Callithrix jacchus: one gene and its partners. The protein of the gene in region 4 purifies or fractionates together with the protein of the main gene of each other region. This does not show direct contact. Links are inferred from orthologs where the notes say so. Each region holds a gene or a part of one and is shown on either strand. Other genes may lie near its edges.

Evidence for each region.
Region 1: the proteins of IQGAP1 (region 4) and DVL2 purify together in Homo sapiens (affinity purification with western blotting; 3 studies listed by BioGRID, with this or other methods). This does not show direct contact. The link is inferred for Callithrix jacchus from reciprocal best matches to the Homo sapiens genes IQGAP1 and DVL2.
Region 2: the proteins of IQGAP1 (region 4) and protein diaphanous homolog 1 purify together in Homo sapiens (affinity purification with western blotting; 3 studies listed by BioGRID and IntAct, with this or other methods). This does not show direct contact. The link is inferred for Callithrix jacchus from reciprocal best matches to the Homo sapiens genes IQGAP1 and DIAPH1.
Region 3: the proteins of IQGAP1 (region 4) and HECTD1 purify together in Homo sapiens (affinity purification with mass spectrometry; 3 studies listed by BioGRID, with this or other methods). This does not show direct contact. The link is inferred for Callithrix jacchus from reciprocal best matches to the Homo sapiens genes IQGAP1 and HECTD1.
Region 5: the proteins of IQGAP1 (region 4) and STAU1 purify together in Homo sapiens (affinity purification with mass spectrometry; 4 studies listed by BioGRID and IntAct, with this or other methods). This does not show direct contact. The link is inferred for Callithrix jacchus from reciprocal best matches to the Homo sapiens genes IQGAP1 and STAU1.

Annotation. Positions count from the first base shown.
Region 1 is NC_133506.1:73,724,564-73,728,868, reverse strand, and holds the start of DVL2 (segment polarity protein dishevelled homolog DVL-2), read left to right. Parts: upstream 1-1,404; 5' UTR 1,405-1,668; coding exon 1,669-1,862; intron 1,863-1,894; exon of another isoform or gene 1,895-1,987; coding exon of another isoform or gene 1,988-1,995; intron 1,996-4,305. Other genes in the region: PHF23 (PHD finger protein 23), read left to right, coding at 1-5, 94-308.
Region 2 is NC_133503.1:40,004,357-40,007,881, reverse strand, and holds part of protein diaphanous homolog 1, read left to right. Parts: coding exon 1-57; intron 58-827; coding exon 828-1,007; intron 1,008-1,730; coding exon 1,731-2,621; intron 2,622-3,525. UniProt on the Homo sapiens protein: Actin nucleation and elongation factor required for the assembly of F-actin structures, such as actin cables and stress fibers. Binds to the barbed end of the actin filament and slows down actin polymerization and depolymerization.
Region 3 is NC_133509.1:65,522,335-65,526,008, reverse strand, and holds part of HECTD1 (E3 ubiquitin-protein ligase HECTD1), read left to right. Parts: intron 1-2,003; coding exon 2,004-2,840; intron 2,841-3,520; coding exon 3,521-3,674. UniProt on the Homo sapiens protein: E3 ubiquitin-protein ligase which accepts ubiquitin from an E2 ubiquitin-conjugating enzyme in the form of a thioester and then directly transfers the ubiquitin to targeted substrates.
Region 4 is NC_133507.1:19,924,024-19,927,697, reverse strand, and holds part of IQGAP1 (ras GTPase-activating-like protein IQGAP1), read left to right. Parts: intron 1-819; coding exon 820-975; intron 976-1,224; coding exon 1,225-1,388; intron 1,389-1,815; coding exon 1,816-2,040; intron 2,041-3,674. UniProt on the Homo sapiens protein: Plays a crucial role in regulating the dynamics and assembly of the actin cytoskeleton.
Region 5 is NC_133506.1:44,266,209-44,270,535, reverse strand, and holds the start of STAU1 (double-stranded RNA-binding protein Staufen homolog 1), read left to right. Parts: upstream 1-1,391; 5' UTR 1,392-1,635; intron 1,636-4,327. UniProt on the Homo sapiens protein: Binds double-stranded RNA (regardless of the sequence) and tubulin.

The DNA of each region.
Region 1 (4,305 bases), on a different chromosome or scaffold from region 4:
ATCAGGTGAGAGGTTTGGGCTGGGGCGATGGGTTTGAGGGTGTTGTGAATCCAAAAACAGCTCTGGCAGAATACCAAACCTTTTTTTCCCCAGGTGATGACTCATGGGATCTAATCACATGTTACTGCCGAAAGCCCTTTGCAGGGCGGCCCATGATTGAGTGCAGCCTGTGTGGGACGTGGATCCACCTCTCCTGTGCTAAGATTAAGAAGACCAATGTCCCTGACTTCTTTTATTGCCAGAAATGCAAGGAACTGAGGCCAGAGGCCCGGCGGTTAGGGGGGCCTCCCAAATCTGGAGAGCCCTGACGGCGCCAACTCTAAGCTGGAACTTCCAAATGACAACTCGATTTGGGAACTGAGCCTCAGGGACCTCAGCCTATCCCCTGGAGCTTGGATACTGTCCGAACTTCAAGGCAGGAATTCCCAAAGGAGACTTGTTTGAAAATGAATGTCTCACTTTCCTACCCTCTCCTTCCTCCCCACTCTGTGGATTTGAAATTGGACCCAGTTGGGGGTGGGAGGCTGTCTGTGTCTCTAGACACTATCTCTTGTCTCTTGGACCTGCCACCATCATTTTCTGGGTCGGGATGGAATGGGACAGTTGTCTATAAAACTCTAGTGTAAATATTAGCACTTCCCTCCCTCATCTTTTCTTTATTTCACTCCCCATTTATTTTCTTCTACACCGGTTGTATTTTTAATTTTGGACTTCCCCTCTTGGGCATGGCAGCTCAAAGGTGGAGTACTAGAGCCTGGCCAAGTGACGAAGGAAAGCAGAAAGGTGACGATTCTCATTCACCTCTTTTGTTTTTAATAATATTGGCCGCTGTTTGTACAGACAGCCTGCGTGTTGTAAATAAAGCAGAGTGGGCTCTTCTGTGTTTATAGCCCTCACTGACTGTCCTGCTTGGGAGGGAGGCTTTGGAAGAGCTGGCTGAAGACTAGCCGGAGGTGGGGCTGAAAACCACCTCTCAAAGTCCAATCTGAACATGGCACGGCACTGGGCCTTTCCCACCCCAAGATACTCGAGTAAGCCACCTTAGAGCTTTCATTGTATTTGTCCCTCCCTACTATAGTCTAGGAACCCCCACAATCCCCATCTTCACTCCCTGCAACGCACACTCCGGCGGGTCAGAGTTGCTTCGCGTTCCCGCCTGGGTCGGGTAAAGCACGGTGGAAGCCGATTATCTGCTTCCTGAGGGCAGAGGCCAGCTTAGCCACGGTACACGCAGGACCTCGCCCAGGGTACCCATTTGGGGGCTGGGAGACCGTTGCTGAAGGCAGCGATCACGTGGCGGGGACGCTAGGAGGAGTCCGGCGGTCACGTGACTGATGGGGGGGTCACGTGAGGGGGCGGCTGAGCAACGCAGAGTGGGCTGGCTTGGGTCACGTGACATGAGGAGAGGTGGGCGGGAACCTGGAGGTGCTCGCAACGTCGGCGGCGATGGCGCCGGGCTACCGCTGAGACCGTGGCTTTGAGTCGCACCCAGCGGCCCGCCCCCCGCCGCCACCCTCGCCGACCCCCGCTTTCTTTCCTTTGCTTTTCTCCTGTACTAGGTCGGTCCTGTCCGCGCTCGTGCGTCCGTTTGTGTGTGTGCGCAGGCGCGGCAGGGGCCATTTGCCCGGTTGGGTGGGCGGCAGAGCCCGGGAGCGCGCGGGCGAGACCATGGCGGGCAGCAGCACTGGGGGCGGTGGGGTTGGGGAGACGAAGGTGATTTACCACCTGGATGAAGAAGAGACTCCCTACCTGGTGAAGATCCCTGTCCCTGCCGAGCGCATCACCCTCGGCGATTTCAAGAGCGTTCTGCAGCGGCCCGCGGGCGCCAAGTACTTTTTCAAGTCTATGGATCAGGATTTTGGGTGAGCGCAAGGCCTGCATAGGACCGACGGGGGCTTTGCTAGAGTGGATTGGGCGACGTGGAGAGGTACACATCTACTTTGGGCCACACTGGGAATTTCTGGCCTATGGTGGAGCAGATTGTACTATGCTGAGGTGGGTTGACTATGCCAGGATGGACAAGGTTATGCTTGGATAGATCGAGGCACACGGACAGACTAGGATATCCTAAACCAGATTAGAGAAGATTACGTTCTACTGGAATAGGTGGGGACATACTGGTTTATTTTGGAGTATTCTAGACTGTACTGAGTAAATTGATCCATTGTCTGGTCGTTTAATACGTTCTCAGGAGTCCTGCATGTTGTCCACAGGTTATTTAGTGCTATTGTGGAATCTTTTGATGTAGATAAGGCCATTTTGGATCAACTTGGGACATTCTGGCGTATACTTAGAGCAGACGGGATTTTTGGTGGGATATTCTAGTCAATACTGATGCAAAGAGTGCTCTATTGGGATGTTCTAGGTTGCCCTGGAATAGAATATTGCGGAGAAACTTATCCATGGTTGGGCGCGGTGGCTCACGCCTGTAATCCCAGCACTTTGGGAGGCCAGGGCGGGCGGAACGCGAGGTCAAGAGATCGAGAGCATCCTGGCTAACACGGTGAAACTCCCTCTCTGCTAAAAATACAAAAAATTAGTCCGATGTGGTGGCACACGCCTGTAGTCCAAGCAACTCGGGAGGCCGAGACAGGAGAATCACTTGAACCCAGGAGGCAGAGGTTGCAGTGAGCCAAGATCGTGCCACTACACTCCAGCCTGGGCGACAGAGGGAGACTCTGTCTCAAAAAAAAGAAAGAAAGAAAAAAAAAGAAGCTTGGGTTATTATGGACTCTACTGAGTTGTATTGATTAATCCTGGTTTCTCTTGGGGCAAGACGTGGTTTTATCGGAGCACTCTGTATAAGGGCAGACAAGGCTGTCGGGGCCCATGCTAGTACAGGCAGCTGTATTGGGGTATTCTAGTCTATATTGGTGCAGACAGCTGCTTGTGGGGACATTGTAGGCTGTGCTAGAATAGATTGGGCTCCTAACGTAATTTGGGACATTCAGGGATATCTTGGACTAGATGGGCTTGTAAATAATGCAGAGAAAGCCCTTTTGTGTTTATAATCTTAGGGACTGAGCCCCCTGGTCCTCACCCTCTGCTTTTTTGAAGGCAGGCTGGATTAAGTTGGGTTAGTGTGGGTTTTAAAAGGTTCTTCTGGTTGTCCGCAATATACCCTTGGACAATTTATTTAAATTTTGTCTTGATCTCATCTGTGACATGGAGAAAAAACACAGAATGAAATGCTTAGATCAGGTGTGTGGCAAACGGTAAATTCTTGGTGAATGGTAATCGTCATTATTAGTACTGAGGCTGACTATAAAGTAGGTTATGGTGATACGGAATAACTTGTCTTAGAGTGGACTGAGCTATGCTGAGATTATGTTATATTGGGAAGAATCCTGCATTATGCTGAAACAGATTGGTAGTGACTGGGCTGTGTTGGCACATTGACAGCAAGTGGATTAAGTTGGCATATATCCTGGCTCCCATAACCATATTAGGCCAAAGGGTTAATCAGACAAGGTGTCTTAATTTGGGGGCAAGGGTGTGTGTGGAAAGAGAGGAACAACTAGGGCAGAGTCTGATGATTTATATGTTGATTCATTTAGCCAACGGTATTTGTTAATGCTGAAGTGACACTTTGTGCTGTGTGGCTAGGACATGGTGTTGACCAGAATGAGTGTTCATGATGTGATGTTGTGGTCAAGAAGAAGCATTAAGTCTAGTCCACTGGGTGAACCTATTGGAGAGATGACCGCAAGGCTGGGCCTTGGGATCTGTCAGGCTGAGCAGATTGCTTCGTGCAGAATTTTGTGACAGATGAGGCACTGGGGAATGGGAAGCTTAGCTTGCCCTCTCCTTGGGAACTTTCAATCTAATCAGGAGCTTCCATTGCTTGATCTAATGGGTTTTTTTGTGATGGAGTTTCGCTCCGTCTCGCAGGCTTGAGTGCAGTAGAGTGATCTCAGCTCACTGCAACCCCTGCCTCCCAGCTTCCAGCAATTCTTCTGCCTCAGCCTCTCAAGTATCTGTGATTACAGGTGTGCGTCAGCATACCCAGCTAATTTTTGTATTTATATATATATATTTTTTTGAGATGGAGTTTTGCTGTTGTTACCCAGACTGGAGTGCAATGGCACGATCTCGGCTCACCGCAACCTCCGCCCTCTGGGTTGAAGCAATTCTCCTGCCTCAGCCTCCCGAGTAGCTGGGACTGCAGGCACGTACCACCATGCCCAGTTAATTTTTGTATTTTTAGTAGAGATGGGATTTCAGCTTGTTGACCAGGATGGTCTCAATCTCTTGACCTCGTGATTCACCTGCCTCGGCCTCCCAAAGTGCTGGGATTATAGGCAT
Region 2 (3,525 bases), on a different chromosome or scaffold from region 4:
ATTGATAAGACAAAGGTGGAGAAATCTGAAGCCAAAGCTGCAGAGCTGGAAAAGAAGGTGCATATGAGACCAAAAACATGTGTTTGAGTATATCTTGCTTTGAGGATTATTATTTTCCTGACCTGTGAGACACTTTTTTTCTGTGGTATTTTGGAAGCATTTAGCATCGGATGTGTAATTCCCAGGGGAAACCATTCCAGTATAGGTTAGTCATTGGAGAAAGTGATATGGATGTCATTATCAGGAGCTTTCCTGGTGGGTTTACAGTTCTTGGGCTATTAGGCAGGAAAAGAAAGACAGATGATACTCATATAATAGTGATGGGACTCTCAGATTTGCTTGGCATTTTAGGCCTCTTATCCCTAGAACATTAGGAACTGGGGTCCTTTGAACAGTAGAAGTGGAAAATGTCTTTGAGTTTTCTTTTTCTCTTCAATTGTTAAGGACTCTTACTGTGGTTAATAGGTTTTTTTATCCTAGAGAATATTGGGATTGTACTACCATGGCTGACCTAGTTAAATACCTTTAAAATCTTTGTTTTGTTTCTTTTTACTGTAAAAATAGGGAATCTATGGAAATGAACTGATTCCCTTCTCCTTTAATCTTGATTTTAAGGTTAGAATCATGGTGCTTTTTTTCCCCAAGCATAGCCTGAATTTGTGAGCTCTACAGATCAATTCTTGGCCCAAAACAGGAGATGGGGGTTGGGGGCAGATTCCAGCACCCCCAGGCAAAAGAGGAGGTGAGGGGAATTATGAGTAATAGTACTCGTTCTTCTTACTGAGATGGAGAGCTTACTGGGAGCCTGATTTGTTTTTTTTCTCTAGCTGGACTCAGAGTTAACAGCCCGACATGAGCTACAGGTGGAAATGAAAAAGATGGAAAGTGACTTTGAGCAGAAGCTTCAAAATCTTCAGGGAGAAAAGGATGCACTGGATTCTGAAAAGCAACAGATTGCCACAGAGAAACAGGATCTAGAAGCAGAGGTGTCCCAGCTCACAGGAGAGGTAATGCCTGAGCAGGGAAGGCAGAGTGACCTGTAACCTCAAGATGCACATGGCTTAGAATAGGAGTCAATCATCTCACTCCTAGGGAGGGATCAGCTACTAATAGGCAATCTAGTTACATGGTGCATATTTTAAAAATAATATACTGGTTTTTGGTTTGTGTTGGGGGTAATACATAAGACAGAAAATCTGGAAAATACAGATAAACATTAAAAATTAAGGTGATAAATCTTCTAATAAATTAGGAATAAAAACTAAACTGTTACAAATTAGCTGATTTTCTGTTAGTTTAGTCATCTCTGCACAGATTTATCCTTACACACTCCCTGTGCAGTAGTAAATACTTGAATGATCTTTGATATCTGTTAACTTGATTACTTAGGTGGTCATATAATCATCTGTGTAGCACATATATTAGTTATATAACTAAAGCATTCGATTTATTTGACTTTACATTTTCTAATCAAGGGAGAGTTTAACATAAATGTTAAAATTGTCTTTTTAATACAAAGCATTCTGAACTAAGAATATGAAGACCTGAATTCTAGTTTTGTCTCTGCTGCTAAGCAGTGTGACTTTAGGTGATCATGTGATCTCTCTGACTCCTCAGTTTCTCCATTTGTAAAATGAGAAGTTTGGATTAAGTCATTTGTTAGATTCCTTCTAGCCCCAGTAGTCCCTGAAGTGGGGTGAGAAGTACTCACATTGATGTTATACTTGTAGGTTGCCAAGCTGACAAAGGAACTGGAAGATGCCAAGAAAGAAATGGCTTCCCTCTCTGTGGCAGCTGTTGCTATAGCTCCTTCTGTTCCTAGTAGTGCTACTGTTCCCCCTGCCCCTCCTTTACCTGGTGACTCTGGCACTATTATTCCACCACCACCTGCTCCTGGGGGTAGTACCATAGTTCCTCCTCCTCCTCCACCACCACCTCCTTTGCCTGGGGGTGTTTGCATCCCCTCACCCCCTTCTTTACCTGTAGTTACTGCTATCTCTCCACCCTCTTCTTTTCCTGGGGGTGCTAGCATCCCTCCACCCCCTCCTTTGCCTGGGGGTGCTAGCATCCCTCCACCTCCTCCTTTGCCTGGGGGTGCTAGCATCCCTCCACCTCCTCCTTTGCCTGGGGGTGCTAGCATCCCTCCACCTCCTCCTTTGCCTGGGGATGCTAGCATCCCTCCACCTCCTCCTTTGCTTGGTGGTGCTGGAATCCCCCCACCACCCCCTCCTTTGCCTGGGGGTGCTAGCATCCCTCCACCCCCTCCTTTGCCTGGGGGTGCTAGCATCCCTCCACCTCCTCCTTTGCTTGGTGGTGCTGGAATCCCCCCACCGCCGCCTCCTTTGCCTGGTGGTGCTGGAATCCCCCCACCACCTCCTCCCTTGCCTGGGGGAGTAGGAATACCACCTCCTCCTCCCCCTCTTCCTGGTGGTCCTGGAATCCCTCCACCTCCTCCTTTTCCTGGAGGCCCTGGTATTCCTCCACCTCCACCTGGCATGGGTATGCCTCCACCTCCCCCATTTGGATTTGGAGTTCCTGCAGCCCCAGTTCTGCCATTTGGATTAACCCCCAAAAAGCTTTATAAGCCAGAGGTGCAGCTCCGGAGGCCAAACTGGTCCAAGGTAAGAATCTCTATTTCTTCACCAGTAGATCTTTTTTTTTTTTTTTTAATTTTTGAGACGAAGTCTCATTCTTGTTGCCTAGATTGGAGTACAGTGGCATGATCTCGGCTCACTGCAGCCTCTGCCTCCCAGGTTCAAGTGATTCTCCTGCCTTAGCCTCCTGAGTAGCTGGTACTACAGGCGCTTGCTACCACACCCAGATAACTTATTTATTTTATTTTTAGTAGAGATGGGGCTTAACCATGTTAGCCAGGATGGTCTCAATCTCCTGACCTTGTGAGCCACCCACCTCAGCCTCCTAAAGTACTGGGATTAAAGGCATGAGCTGCTGTGTCTGGCCTCACCAGTTGATCTTAAGAAACCATTTTACTACCAATTTTCTACTTTGTATTTTGTGCATGGATGGGCTGCACCTCCCTTATGGCTTACATCTTTCTGTCTTCAAGTTTCACTCATGCTTATGTTTATTCAGCAGATATTAGGCATCTTCTATATGCCATACATCACCATGGAGAGTTCTGTGAACCCTGTACTCTGAATTTAATCTTAACTAAACTTATACTTCATGTTTTCTGCCTTTTCTCTGAGGCTGTCAATACCATGGTAACACACAGTTTGATAATAGTCATTCACCAGTCTGCAAGCTACTGATAATTGTGCTGATCCAAAAGTCATGGATTTATGAATCCACTCTACACCAGTTTCATAGTATATAAATTACTCAGCCCATATTTGCATGCACAGTATTGTTCCCATGATGTGTTTGAGATGCCTGTGATTCTGAGTTAGTTAGCCTTTTGCTTCTAGAAGGTAAGTTAATATAAAGGAGCTTAGGGATTTATTTGCTCATAAAATGAGCAAATTTGGCACAGTTAGCCAAACTGGTGGGGAAAATATGATGGAG
Region 3 (3,674 bases), on a different chromosome or scaffold from region 4:
TTTTTGAATCATTTTGCTGCATAGTACATTGCAATTACATGTCAGTATAATGTTACTGATGTATATAATACATTTGAACTGTGAGGTATGGCACCTCCGTATGAGGGAGTGCTAACTTGTAAACCTGAATATTTTGAGTGATGATGATGATTATTAGCTGCCACAGATAGGAAAAAGAAATCTAGCATAGAATCTTAATTTCAGAGTTTAGCATTCAAGAAAGGCTTATTTTTGCTGATCTGACGAATGTAGAAATTTAGTTTTGGCTAACCAACATGGTGGTTCCCATCAAGTTATGCCTTTCAGTCTCTATGTCAAAGAGGATTCTTAGCTTTCAGATGCTTAACCCAATCATTTCTAATGATGGCTAGGCATTACTGACTCTTTTTTTTTCTTCTTCTTTTTTTTAATCTATCTTTTGGGTATAGAAGGAGTTGAGAGAGTATTTTTTTGGGCCAATTAATACAATACAAAAGTCATTTTTATTTGAGATTGGGATATGTTTTTGAACCTTTTCATTTTCTTACACATTTCTGTGTAGCAGAAGAGATAGTTAAATGTTGGTTCTTCAGAGATTTTTTTCAGCCTACAAAAAAAAAAAATAGAGGCAATTGAAAAATCTCATCTAAACTCCTTATATAGATTTGGGGCAGTTAAATTTTCTTTCAAAGAACACCTATGCAGATAATCTCCACAGGTAATTCAATATTATTTCCCTCTGAGCGCCATCATAAACATACATGAACTTGGTGTATGCGTGGGTGGGCATCTGGGTGTGTGGATGGGTGCGTATGTGAGCTTGGGCCCCTTTTATGTGTGAGTAAAAACTTTATAAAGGCTTGTTATACTTTAATAAAGATGCTTTTTTATATCTTATGTTTTTCCCTGAAATAGTTGGCTTATAACACTAAAATAAGCTTGTAAAATTTCTATTAATTTCCTTTTAATAGACAATTTTTTTTTGCTTTTGGAAGTTAATTACCTTTTTATAAAAGAATAACTATTATTTTTTAACTACAAGTAAATATATAGATTGAATATCATTATGCTCATTAGTTCTGTACATGTTATTAGCTTTAGCAGACAATTTCTAATAAAAGGACTCAGTATGATCTTTAAATTTTCTTTAGAATTTTCTGTGCTTATTCAAATTTATTGAACTTAATTATTTAATACAAGAGAACCAAGGAACCACTGAACTTTGAGAACACAACCGAAATGCTAACTTTAGTGTTTTATTTGAGCTAGTGACCTAAAATTTCTGTAGTAATATGTGAATATTTTAAGAGGTTAGCCCAAATTAATGGTAAGAAATTAACGGTAAGCTGGTATGTTTTTCTAGTAGAAAGAACATTTAACCACACATAATTATCTTTAGCAATTTAAAAACTTTTACTTAGATTCTGTTTACTTGCTGAAGTGGCAGTATTTTACCATGTATATCAGTCTTAAAATTCTTAAACAGTTCTTCCATTTAAGAAGTAACCAAGCCAGGTGCGGTAACTCACATCTGAAATCTCAGTTACTCAAGAGGCTGAGATGGGAGGATGATTTAAGCCCAGGAGTTCAAGACTAGCAAGGGCAACATAGCAAGACCTCATCTCTCAAAATTGAATAATTTTTAAAATGAAAAATAACCCAGTAGATTTAAACATAACCCTTGCATTGCTTTTAAATGTCATAGACTGAATAGTTCAGAAATAAGGGAAATAAAAGGAAGAACTTTAAACATTTCCCAGAAACCTTGTATACAGTACATATTTCTTGTCCTTAACATATTTTTTATCATGAGAGTTAAATAATATAGACTTTCAGATAGCTAGTCATAGTCAAATAATTGAATCCAAACATTTGCATATATTTTAGTTGGCGGACCTTGATTGACTATAGAAATTCACAAAAGGACAGCACTGATTAAAAACTGATCCCATATTGTGGAGCTACTGTCTGACACGCTCCTATCTGCTTTCTGCTGGGTCTCACAAACTCCTGTCCCTTTCCAGGCTGGATTGATGTCACCTGGGATGCTGGTGGCTCAAACTCTTACCGTATGGGCGCAGAAGGAAAATTTGACCTCAAGCTTGCACCAGGGTACGACCCTGATACAGTGGCATCACCCAAACCTGTTTCATCCACTGTTTCAGGCACAACGCAATCATGGAGCAGCTTGGTGAAAAACAACTGTCCAGACAAGACATCTGCTGCTGCAGGCTCCTCAAGTAGAAAAGGAAGCAGCAGTTCTGTGTGTAGCGTGGCCAGTAGCAGCGACATCAGCTTGGGTTCGACCAAAACGGAACGGAGATCAGAAATTGTAATGGAACACAGTATAGTTTCAGGAGCTGATGTCCATGAACCAATTGTTGTTCTTTCATCTGCTGAAAACGTCCCTCAAACAGAAGTAGGGTCATCTTCCAGTGCAAGCACCAGCACCTTAACAGCGGAAACGGGAAGTGAAAATGCTGAAAGGAAGTTAGGCCCTGATAGTTCTGTTCGTACTCCTGGGGAGTCTAGTGCAATATCCATGGGAATTGTCAGTGTTAGTTCTCCTGATGTTAGTTCAGTATCTGAATTAACTAATAAAGAAGCAGCTTCACAACGACCTCTTAGCTCTTCAGCAAGTAACAGACTGTCAGTGAGTTCTTTGTTGGCTGCTGGGGCCCCTATGAGCTCTAGTGCAAGTGTACCTAACCTGTCCTCAAGAGAAACATCTAGCTTGGAGAGTTTTGTAAGGAGAGTGGCAAACATAGCACGGACTAATGCCACGAACAACATGAATCTAAGCCGAAGCAGCAGTGATAACAACACTAATACTTTGGGGAGGAATGTGATGAGCACAGCAAGTAAGTGAGCTTTTCCTTCTGGAACCCAATGCTTTTTCCACTTGGAGGGATGCAAAGTAGGGTCTCTTGTTCTGGCTGCAGTTTTTAACTAGATCATTAACCATATTAGATAAAGCTACATCAAATTTAGCACTTCAGGAATATGAAGTTAAGTTCTCTAGAATCATAATATTTTTAAGAATTCAGATTAGGTATGATAAAGAGCCTCTTATTCTAGAAGGATAAAACAATACTTCTGATTTTCACTCTTTTATGATAAATCAAGCAAAGTTAATGAGGAAATAGATGACTATTAAATATTATCATAGTGCAGTGAAACTAAAGAATCATGAGTATAGCTTTTATTTAGACTCTACATTGATCATAGCTTCTTAAATTCAAATTCCGATCTAAGCTGCTAACAGGTCAAAGTAATTCCCTTGGAAAAGACATAGGGAATTATTTCATTGCTTGTTTCATTTCTTTAAAAATGTTAGGCATAATATTTAAAAATATAATAGTGCTATAAAAATAATTTTTAGTTGGATTTCAGTTGGGTTCCCAAAGTTGTTGCTTTTCAGGAACCATTTTATTATTAGTGTGTTTTATGATCTCACTCTTTAAAAAATATAAAACTTCGTTTTTCTAAGGTTTCTAAAATCTCACCTATTTTTACTGATTTGCTTCATTTTTATCTTTAGCTTCTCCTCTTATGGGTGCTCAGAGTTTCCCTAATTTGACCACACCTGGTACTACATCAACAGTGACTATGTCAACATCCAGTGTTACTAGTAGCAGCAATGTAGCTACAGCAACCACAGTTTTATCAGTTGGTCAATCATTAAGTAATACTTT
Region 4 (3,674 bases):
CCCCACTCGTTTTGTATCTCATGTTCTTACTTCATATCAGAGGATAAGACTCTTTCCCTATGATAAATAGTCATACATCTTTTATTTTTTTGAGACAGAGTCTCCTTCTGTACCCCAGGCTGGAGTGCAGTGGCATGATCATGGCTCACTGCAACCTCAACCTCCTGGGTTTGAGTGATTGTCTCACTTCAGCCTCTCAAGTAGCTCGGACGACCAGTGCATGCCACCACACCTGGCTAATTATTTTATTTTTGTAAGAGATGGGATCCCTCTGTGTTGTCCAGGCTGGTCTCGAACTCTTGGGCTCAAGTGATCCTCCTGTCTCAGCCTCTCAAAGTGCTGGGATTACAGGTGTGAGCTACTGCACCAGGCTGTAAATATTATTTTTAACAGTAGCATAATAGATTGTTAGAAGATATACTATGATTTGCCCCTTTTCTCTTCCTGGTATTTGACATTTAGGCTGTTTACCAAGTGTTTATTATAAATAACATCACAATTGATATTTCAATATATATGTAGCTTTTATTGTATTTAAGACTTAATTTTGTAATAAGTCTTTTTGTAATAGATTGCTAGAAGTTGTTTTCCCAATTCAGTGTACATTCTTATGGCTCAGGTTCTTTGTCAGAACATAGGAATGGATTTGATTGGTGTACTGAAAACAGGATAAAATGTAGTGATTTTAAAATCTTTAGTGGGAACCTGCCAGTGCAGTCGACTGTCATGTGAGCTTGCACATGCTATAAGACCTTTCCACATTGCCCAGAGGTTCATCTTTGAAAGCTTTCTCATGTGTGTATTGGTTTTTGTTTGTAGGATGTGGTCTCCCACAGTAAAAAACTTACCAAAAAAAATAAGGAACAATTGTCTGATATGATGATGATAAATAAACAGAAGGGAGGTCTCAAGGCTTTGAGCAAGGAGAAGAGAGAGAAGTTGGAAGCTTACCAGCACCTGTTTTATTTATTGCAAGTAAGTGGCTCCTGGAATCAGTGTTATAAAAATTTAGCAAATTTACTTTTCCACAAGAAAACCTTACCCATCAATCTCTCTGGAAATACTTTTGACTTCCACTGAGGGGTAAGTGACGGGCATTGTAATATTTTAATTTATTAATTTTTTTTCTCATGTATCTTCTAGTTCTTCAATTTTAAAGAATTAAATATATCTTGCCAGCTTTCATATTACCTATAAATGACTTATCCCTTGGTTTTATTTCAGACCAATCCCACCTATCTGGCCAAGCTAATTTTTCAGATGCCCCAGAACAAGTCTACCAAGTTCATGGACTCTGTGATCTTCACACTCTACAACTATGCATCCAACCAGCGAGAGGAGTACCTGCTTCTGCGGCTCTTTAAGACAGCGCTCCAGGAGGAAATCAAGTATGAACAGATTTCCTCAGGGCACAGACCCTTCCTACTATCACTGGGGACCCCAGTTTGAAATTCATGCCTTTCAGACCTTTGTTGTTCTCAATTAATTTATGAAAAATACTTACTCTAAAGAAGCATCTAATTTTTTAATAATACAAAATCTTGCTGCTTCTAGGGAGGGGATAAATTAATTTTAGGAACATTCTGTATTAAGGTATAATTTCAAAAAGTGATCTCAACAGAAAGATTTTGCATTTTTCTCTAGTAGGGGACCTAACTGACCATGATTCAGTGTACAGCCACAAGAACGTTCTGTGAGTGCTGGGCAATGATTCGAGAGAAACTCTGTTTCTATGAGATAGGATCTTTAAGCAGGAAGGATCTTTTCATTGACGGATTCTGTGACAAGTTTAAATTTTTATCTGATGTTTTATAGGTCAAAGGTAGATCAGATTCAAGAGATTGTGACAGGAAATCCTACAGTTATTAAAATGGTTGTAAGTTTCAACCGTGGTGCCCGTGGCCAGAATGCCCTGAGACAGATCTTGGCCCCAGTCGTGAAGGAAATTATGGATGACAAATCTCTCAACATCAAAACTGACCCTGTGGATATTTACAAATCTTGGGTTAATCAGATGGAGTCTCAGACAGGAGAGGCAAGGTATGATAACCATAACACTTTTCTTTATGTTGTTACTTTCTTTCCCTCTTTTTTCCACCCTCTTTATTTATAAACTAATACTAGTTCAAATAGTTTTTCTTTTTTTTAATTTTCTTTTGAGATGGAGTTTCACTCTTGTCACTCAGGCTGAAATGCTATGACAGGACCTCGGCTCACTGCAGCGCCACCTCCTGGGTTCAAGCAGTTCTCATGCTTTAGCCTCCCGAGTAGATGGGTTACAGGCATGTGACCACATCTGTCTAATTTTTGTATTTTTATTAGAAACAGGGTTTTGCCATGTTGACCAGGCTGGTCTCGAACTCCTGACCTCAAGTGATTCGTCTGACTCAGCCTCCCAAAGTGCTGGGATTACAGGCGTGAGCCACCGGGCCCAGCCTCAGATAGTTTTTCTTTAGAAAACTGTGCTTTATGAGTTGTTGACCTTGTAATAAATTCACGTATTTAACAAATGTTTGAGTACTTACTGTGTGCCAGGCATTGTGTTAGAGATGTATACAGTAATGCAATAATGAGTGAAACAGACATGCCCCCTGCCCTCTCTTCTTAGGTCATTGGGTGGAAGAGACACCAACCAGGTACATAAAAATAAAAGTATAATTAAACATTGAGGAAAGTTTCATGAAGTTTTATATAGGGTTCTGTAGTGGAGACTATAAGAGGGAGCTAACATAGGTTGGGTGATTAGGGAAAGCTTGTCCCAGAAGATAAAATTTCATTTAGCTGAGGCCTAAAGGCTAAGATGAAGCCAGACTTACTAAGAGCTAGGTGCAGAGTGTTCATGTCTGAACACTCTGAGGTGGGGGGGTTAGGACCTAAAAGGCATAACTAGGGATGCAATTGAATGAGAAGGCTCATACAGATTGGGTGAGATCACTGTGTTTTATTAAAGGAACAAGAAAATGGTGTGGGGTGAGCTGCCCTGAAATACTGAGAGTTGGGCTAACTGAATTAACATATTACAGGAGATAACTGAGTCAGGGCTGTAGCATAAACCACCACCATTAATTTATCAAAAGCAAAAGTATGCCAATCAAATATGGGTAATGCTGGGAAAAGGGAGTTCAGAATGCCAAAACATTTCTGGTTTTATTCATCTTGGGCAAGGACCTAGAGGGATGGGAAATGGAGATGTGAGCAACACGGTCTGTTGTGGATTTTTCTTGTTGCAGAGTAGGGTTGGATCATGCATGAAGCTCTCTGGGCATAGGAGGAGTAGCAGCTCTCCACACCATTGCTATTCAAAGTGTGGTTTACAGACCAGTAATGGAAAATCATCTGTGCACAATGTTTAGTTTAACTGATAGTTTTTTTAATAGCAAGATTTTCTCAATGAAAGAAGCAGTGTATTAATTCGCATTCTGACTCATTCTCTTTGTCTTTGATTGGATTGTAGACTGGCACTGGTCTACACTTTGAATAACACTATTCTACATAATTCTGCTTTCCATGTTCCTGGATGCCAGGCAATTTGCTGACTCACTGAAAGGGCTTATCTCGCCAGGAGTGGTGGCTCACACCTGTAATTCCAGCACTTTGGGAGGCTGAGATGGGAGGATTGCTTGAGCTCATCTTAGCCTTTGGGCCTTTGAGACCAGCCTGGGCAACATAGAGAG
Region 5 (4,327 bases), on a different chromosome or scaffold from region 4:
GAAAAAAAAAGATCACTTTCAGCAGAGGGCTGGACAATATCTGAATGTTCCTAAGTACTGTCTTGGATGGGCACTAAAGGAACGGTGAAAGTCCTTTGACTATTTTCGGTGTTCTGAAACTCAGTCTCATTGCACTTCAGAAGAAGCAATGTAAGGAGGTCTTGTCTAGAGAAAGGTGTCCTCCCAGCCTTGGATAAGGCTCCAAAGCCTCGTTTGGAGGGGCTTCTTCAGACACAGCCGCTCATATTCTGAATTTATATTCCTTTGGCAAGAGAGATTGAGCAATATTTAAACTGAGAGATATCTGAGAGAGAGATAATTATTTTTAAATAGCAGGGAAGCAGTTCGAGTGAGCAGGAGAGAGGAGCCCTGTGCACTTGCAGTTCTTCACTCATTCTCCGTTTCCTGGACCTCTCACAACGCGAGCATAATTTTCGCTGAGTGTGATTCCAGAAGTTCAATATTCTCTACTGGCCACCCTGTTCTCCCTCCAACCTCCCATATAACATGGCTGCTACAAACCACGTAGTTTATCTAGATGTGGATAAAAGAAATAGCAATCTGGCACTTCTTTTATCTCACTATAAATTTTATTTTTTCTTTGAGACAGAGTCTCGCTCTGTCACCCAGGCCAGAGTGCAGCGGCGCGATCTTGGCTCACCGAAACCTCCGACTCCCTGCTTCGAGCGATTCTCCTGCCTCAGCCTCTCCAGTAGCTGACATATCTGGCGCCCGCCACCACGTCCGGCTAATTTTTGTATTTTTAGTAGAGACGGGGTTTCACCATGTTGGCCATGATGGTCTCAATTTCCAGACCTCGTGATCCACCCGCCTCGGCCTCCCAAAGTGCTGGGATTACAAGCGTGAGTCACCGCGCCCGGCCAAATTTTCTAAATTTATTTATTGTGTGTTTTACTCACACAAGAATGTAAGCTCCACGAGGGCAGGGATTTTTGTCTGTTCACCACTACATCCCTAGCTCTTGGCGGAATGCCTTGCATACAGCAAGCATTTAATGAACATTTACAGATGAAGGAAGAAACATTGCGGGAAGGAGAGAAACGAGGGCCAGAGGCAGGAGAAGAGGAAGAACCGAGAGAAGGAAGGAAGAAGGAAGTGGAGGAAAAGAAGGCAGGCTGGTTCTCCCAGCCCCGCTACTAGTCCAGCAGGCAGCGCGAAACTCCCACCGGAACTACAATTCCCGGCAGGCCCCGGGGCCCCAGGGCTGGCCGCAGCGGCTCAAACCGGACATGGCTTCACTCCCGCTGGGCTACCGGCGTGCCTTGCGAGCGCAGGTTGTGCCGCAGCGCCCGCCGGAACTTGTGGTCCTGGCCGCGGGTGGGGGTGGCGGCGGGCGGGGGCCGGGGGCGGGCGCCGGCCCCTCCCCCGTCACTTCCTGCCGGGCTGCGGGCGCCGGAGCGGCTCTTCAGCGTTTGCGCTGGCGGCTGCCGTGTCTTACTCGGCTCCCCCTTCCTTTGACCCCCCCCCCAGCCCGGCGGCGCCCGCCTTCTCCGTGGCCACTCCGCCTCTTCCCTCCCTTCGTCCCGTCCTCCTCTCCTTTTTTCCTTCCCTTCCCCTCCTCGCCGCCGCCGCCCAGGACCGCCGGCCGGGGGACGAGCTCGGGGCAGCAGCCAGGTGAGGCGGCCCGGCCCGGCCGGGCCTGGCGGGGCCCGCGCTGGCGCCGCGGCGGTGGGGAGTGGGCGGCGGGTGGGGCCTAGGCCTTGGCGGGCCTGCGCGCCCCGCCGCCTTCCCCCGGGCCTCTCTCCAGCCCGCGGGGCCTTCCCGGAGGAGGCGGGTCCTCCTGCGCCCCCCGCCTCGGGGCGCCCTGAGGCCTGGCCCCCGGGCGCCCCCATCCGCTTCAGCCCTCGCCGGGGTCACAAACAGGTGCCGTGGCCGCCTTTCCTCGTCCCGCATGGCGCGCGCGGGGATGCCGAAGTTATTCCCGGGGCTGAAGCTGGGGGTGGGGGGTCCCCGTTTTAGGTCCCCGAGAACTGGAGCCTCTCAGTCTCGCCGGCCCAGGTCTGCAGCTTAGTGGTTAAGAGCACCGCCCAGGTGTCCAAAACGGGTGCTAATCCCGGCTCTGCCCCATTAGGCAAGACACTTAAACTCTTTGTGTCCTGGTTGGAAAAGGGGCTGCTGATACAGTCCCTGCCTCTTATGGCTGTTAGGGTTCAGTGAAATGGGGCGTGTAAAGCGCTTATCAGAGTGCCAGACCCACAGCGTGTCCCAATAAACCGTCTGCATAATTTATTAGCGTGATATGAAGGATAATTTAATGGGTAGAGTGGATAGAAGTTGACCTACCTATCCGTTTGGGTTTCTTAGAGGCTCAGTGTTGCGCGTGCCCGTGTCCAGAGCCAGGGCATTGTTTTGAGTTGTTAACATCTGAAAGAGGCATACGCTTAATTGGAACACTGTAGTTGGCAGTCTGTAAACGATAGATGCTATTTCTTTCCATCTCCTCCGCTTAGCCAACTGCAGGATATTCACCAGCTCCCGCAGGATGAGCAACCTGTCCATTTCCCCCCGCCCGGCCATCATCCAGCTTCTTGTCATTCCATTTCTGGGAAAGTTGCTGGCAGAAGCTTCCCTTGTGTTAAGCAGACCTATCTGGAGCACTTGCAGTGTGTCAGGCTTTGAAGGGGGGGTGTACGAAAATGGAAAAATTTGTCTGTCTTTTCTTGCTCTACATCTCTTAAGTTTTTTCACCGAAGCTTTGCTTTTATTCCCCCCCTCCCTGATGGCTGACTTTCCTTTTAAGCCCTGGCCCCGCCTCCTTGTTGCAGTATTGCTTGTGTGGGAAGTTTTCTTGGGTTCCGCGAAGATACGTACTTCGGTCTGTCCTGCCACTGTTCTTTGGCCGTGTGGACCTTTTTAAGGGGTCACACTTCTCTTCTGCTTGTAGCTTTCATTGTTCAGAACGTGGTGGAAACAGTTAAATCAGGTTCCTGGTTGATTTTGGCCTTTCAGGAATCCGTGCTTACCAAATGTAAATTACGTTGCTACTTGTTGAGGTAAAAACTAAAAATATAGTTGGAGTGTAGAGGGAGCAGTTTCGGTTATCCTGGTGACAGGTGGGATTTTTAGAACAGCAACTTTATTAAAGGATACTGGGTTTTAAAAACTTTTGTACTTAGTTTTATAGGTGTACTCAAAGGAAATGCAACTTATGAATGTTAAATTTTATACGAGTAAGGAGTGTGTGTTTACCTGAGTGATCCTCCTGTATCGTTGTAGGCATTGAATTTCCTTAGTGAACTGAAAATATTTTGATTTATAACCATCTTTTAATAACACACATGTGGCAAAGTGCCCTCCTTGTTTTTGACAAATTTTCCTAGAATTTTCTTACAGCCTTTTTTTTTTTTGGAGATGGAGTCTCACTCTTGTCTCCCAGGCTGGAGTGCAGTCGGCTCACTGCAACTTCTGCCTCCCAAGTTCAAACGATTCTCCTGCCTCAGCCTCCTGAGTAGCTGGGATTACAGGTGCCTGCCATCGCTCCTGGCCTGAATTGCTCTTTTAAAACATGTGGGTCAGGCGCGGTTGCTTTCCTGTAATCCCAGCACTTTGGGAGGCCGAGGCGGGTGGATCACGAGGTCAAGAGATTGAGACCATCCTGGTCAACATGGTGAAACCCCGTCTCTACTAAAAATACAAAAAAAAAAATTAGCTGGGCACGGTGGCGTGTGCCTGTAATCCCAGCTACTCAGGAGGCTGAGGCAGGAGAATTGCCTGAACCCAGGAAGCGGAGGTTGCGGTGAGCCGAGATCGCGCCGTTGCACTCCAGCCTGGGTAACAAGAGTGAAACTCCGTCTCAAAAAAAAAAAAAAAAGTAAGCAGGCAGGGCACAGTGGCTCACGCCTGTAATCCCAGCACTTTGGGAGGTGGAGGCGGGTGGATCACGAGGTCAGGAGATCGAGACCATCCTAGCCAACATGGTGAAACTTCATCTCTACTAAAAATACAAAAAGTAGCCGGGTGTGGTGGCGGGTGCCTGTAATCCCAGCTACTCGGCAGGCTGAGGCAGGAGAATCGCTTGAACCTGGGAGGTGGAGGTTGCAGTGAGCAGAGATAGCGCCATTGCTCTCCAGCCTGGGCTGTCGCAAACTCCGTCTCAAAACAAAACACCACCACGTAACCAAACAACTAGTACACAAGCCGTATAAAGCATGTCTTCTATTGCTGTATCACAATGGCATATTGCAATAGGGAAATGGTATTTCGAATACCATTTTTTAAAAGTTTTTTTATTCTGGAAAATATGCAAAAATTGAATAGTATGTAGAACCCCATGTATTAGTCACTCAGCTCTAACAATTATTAACTC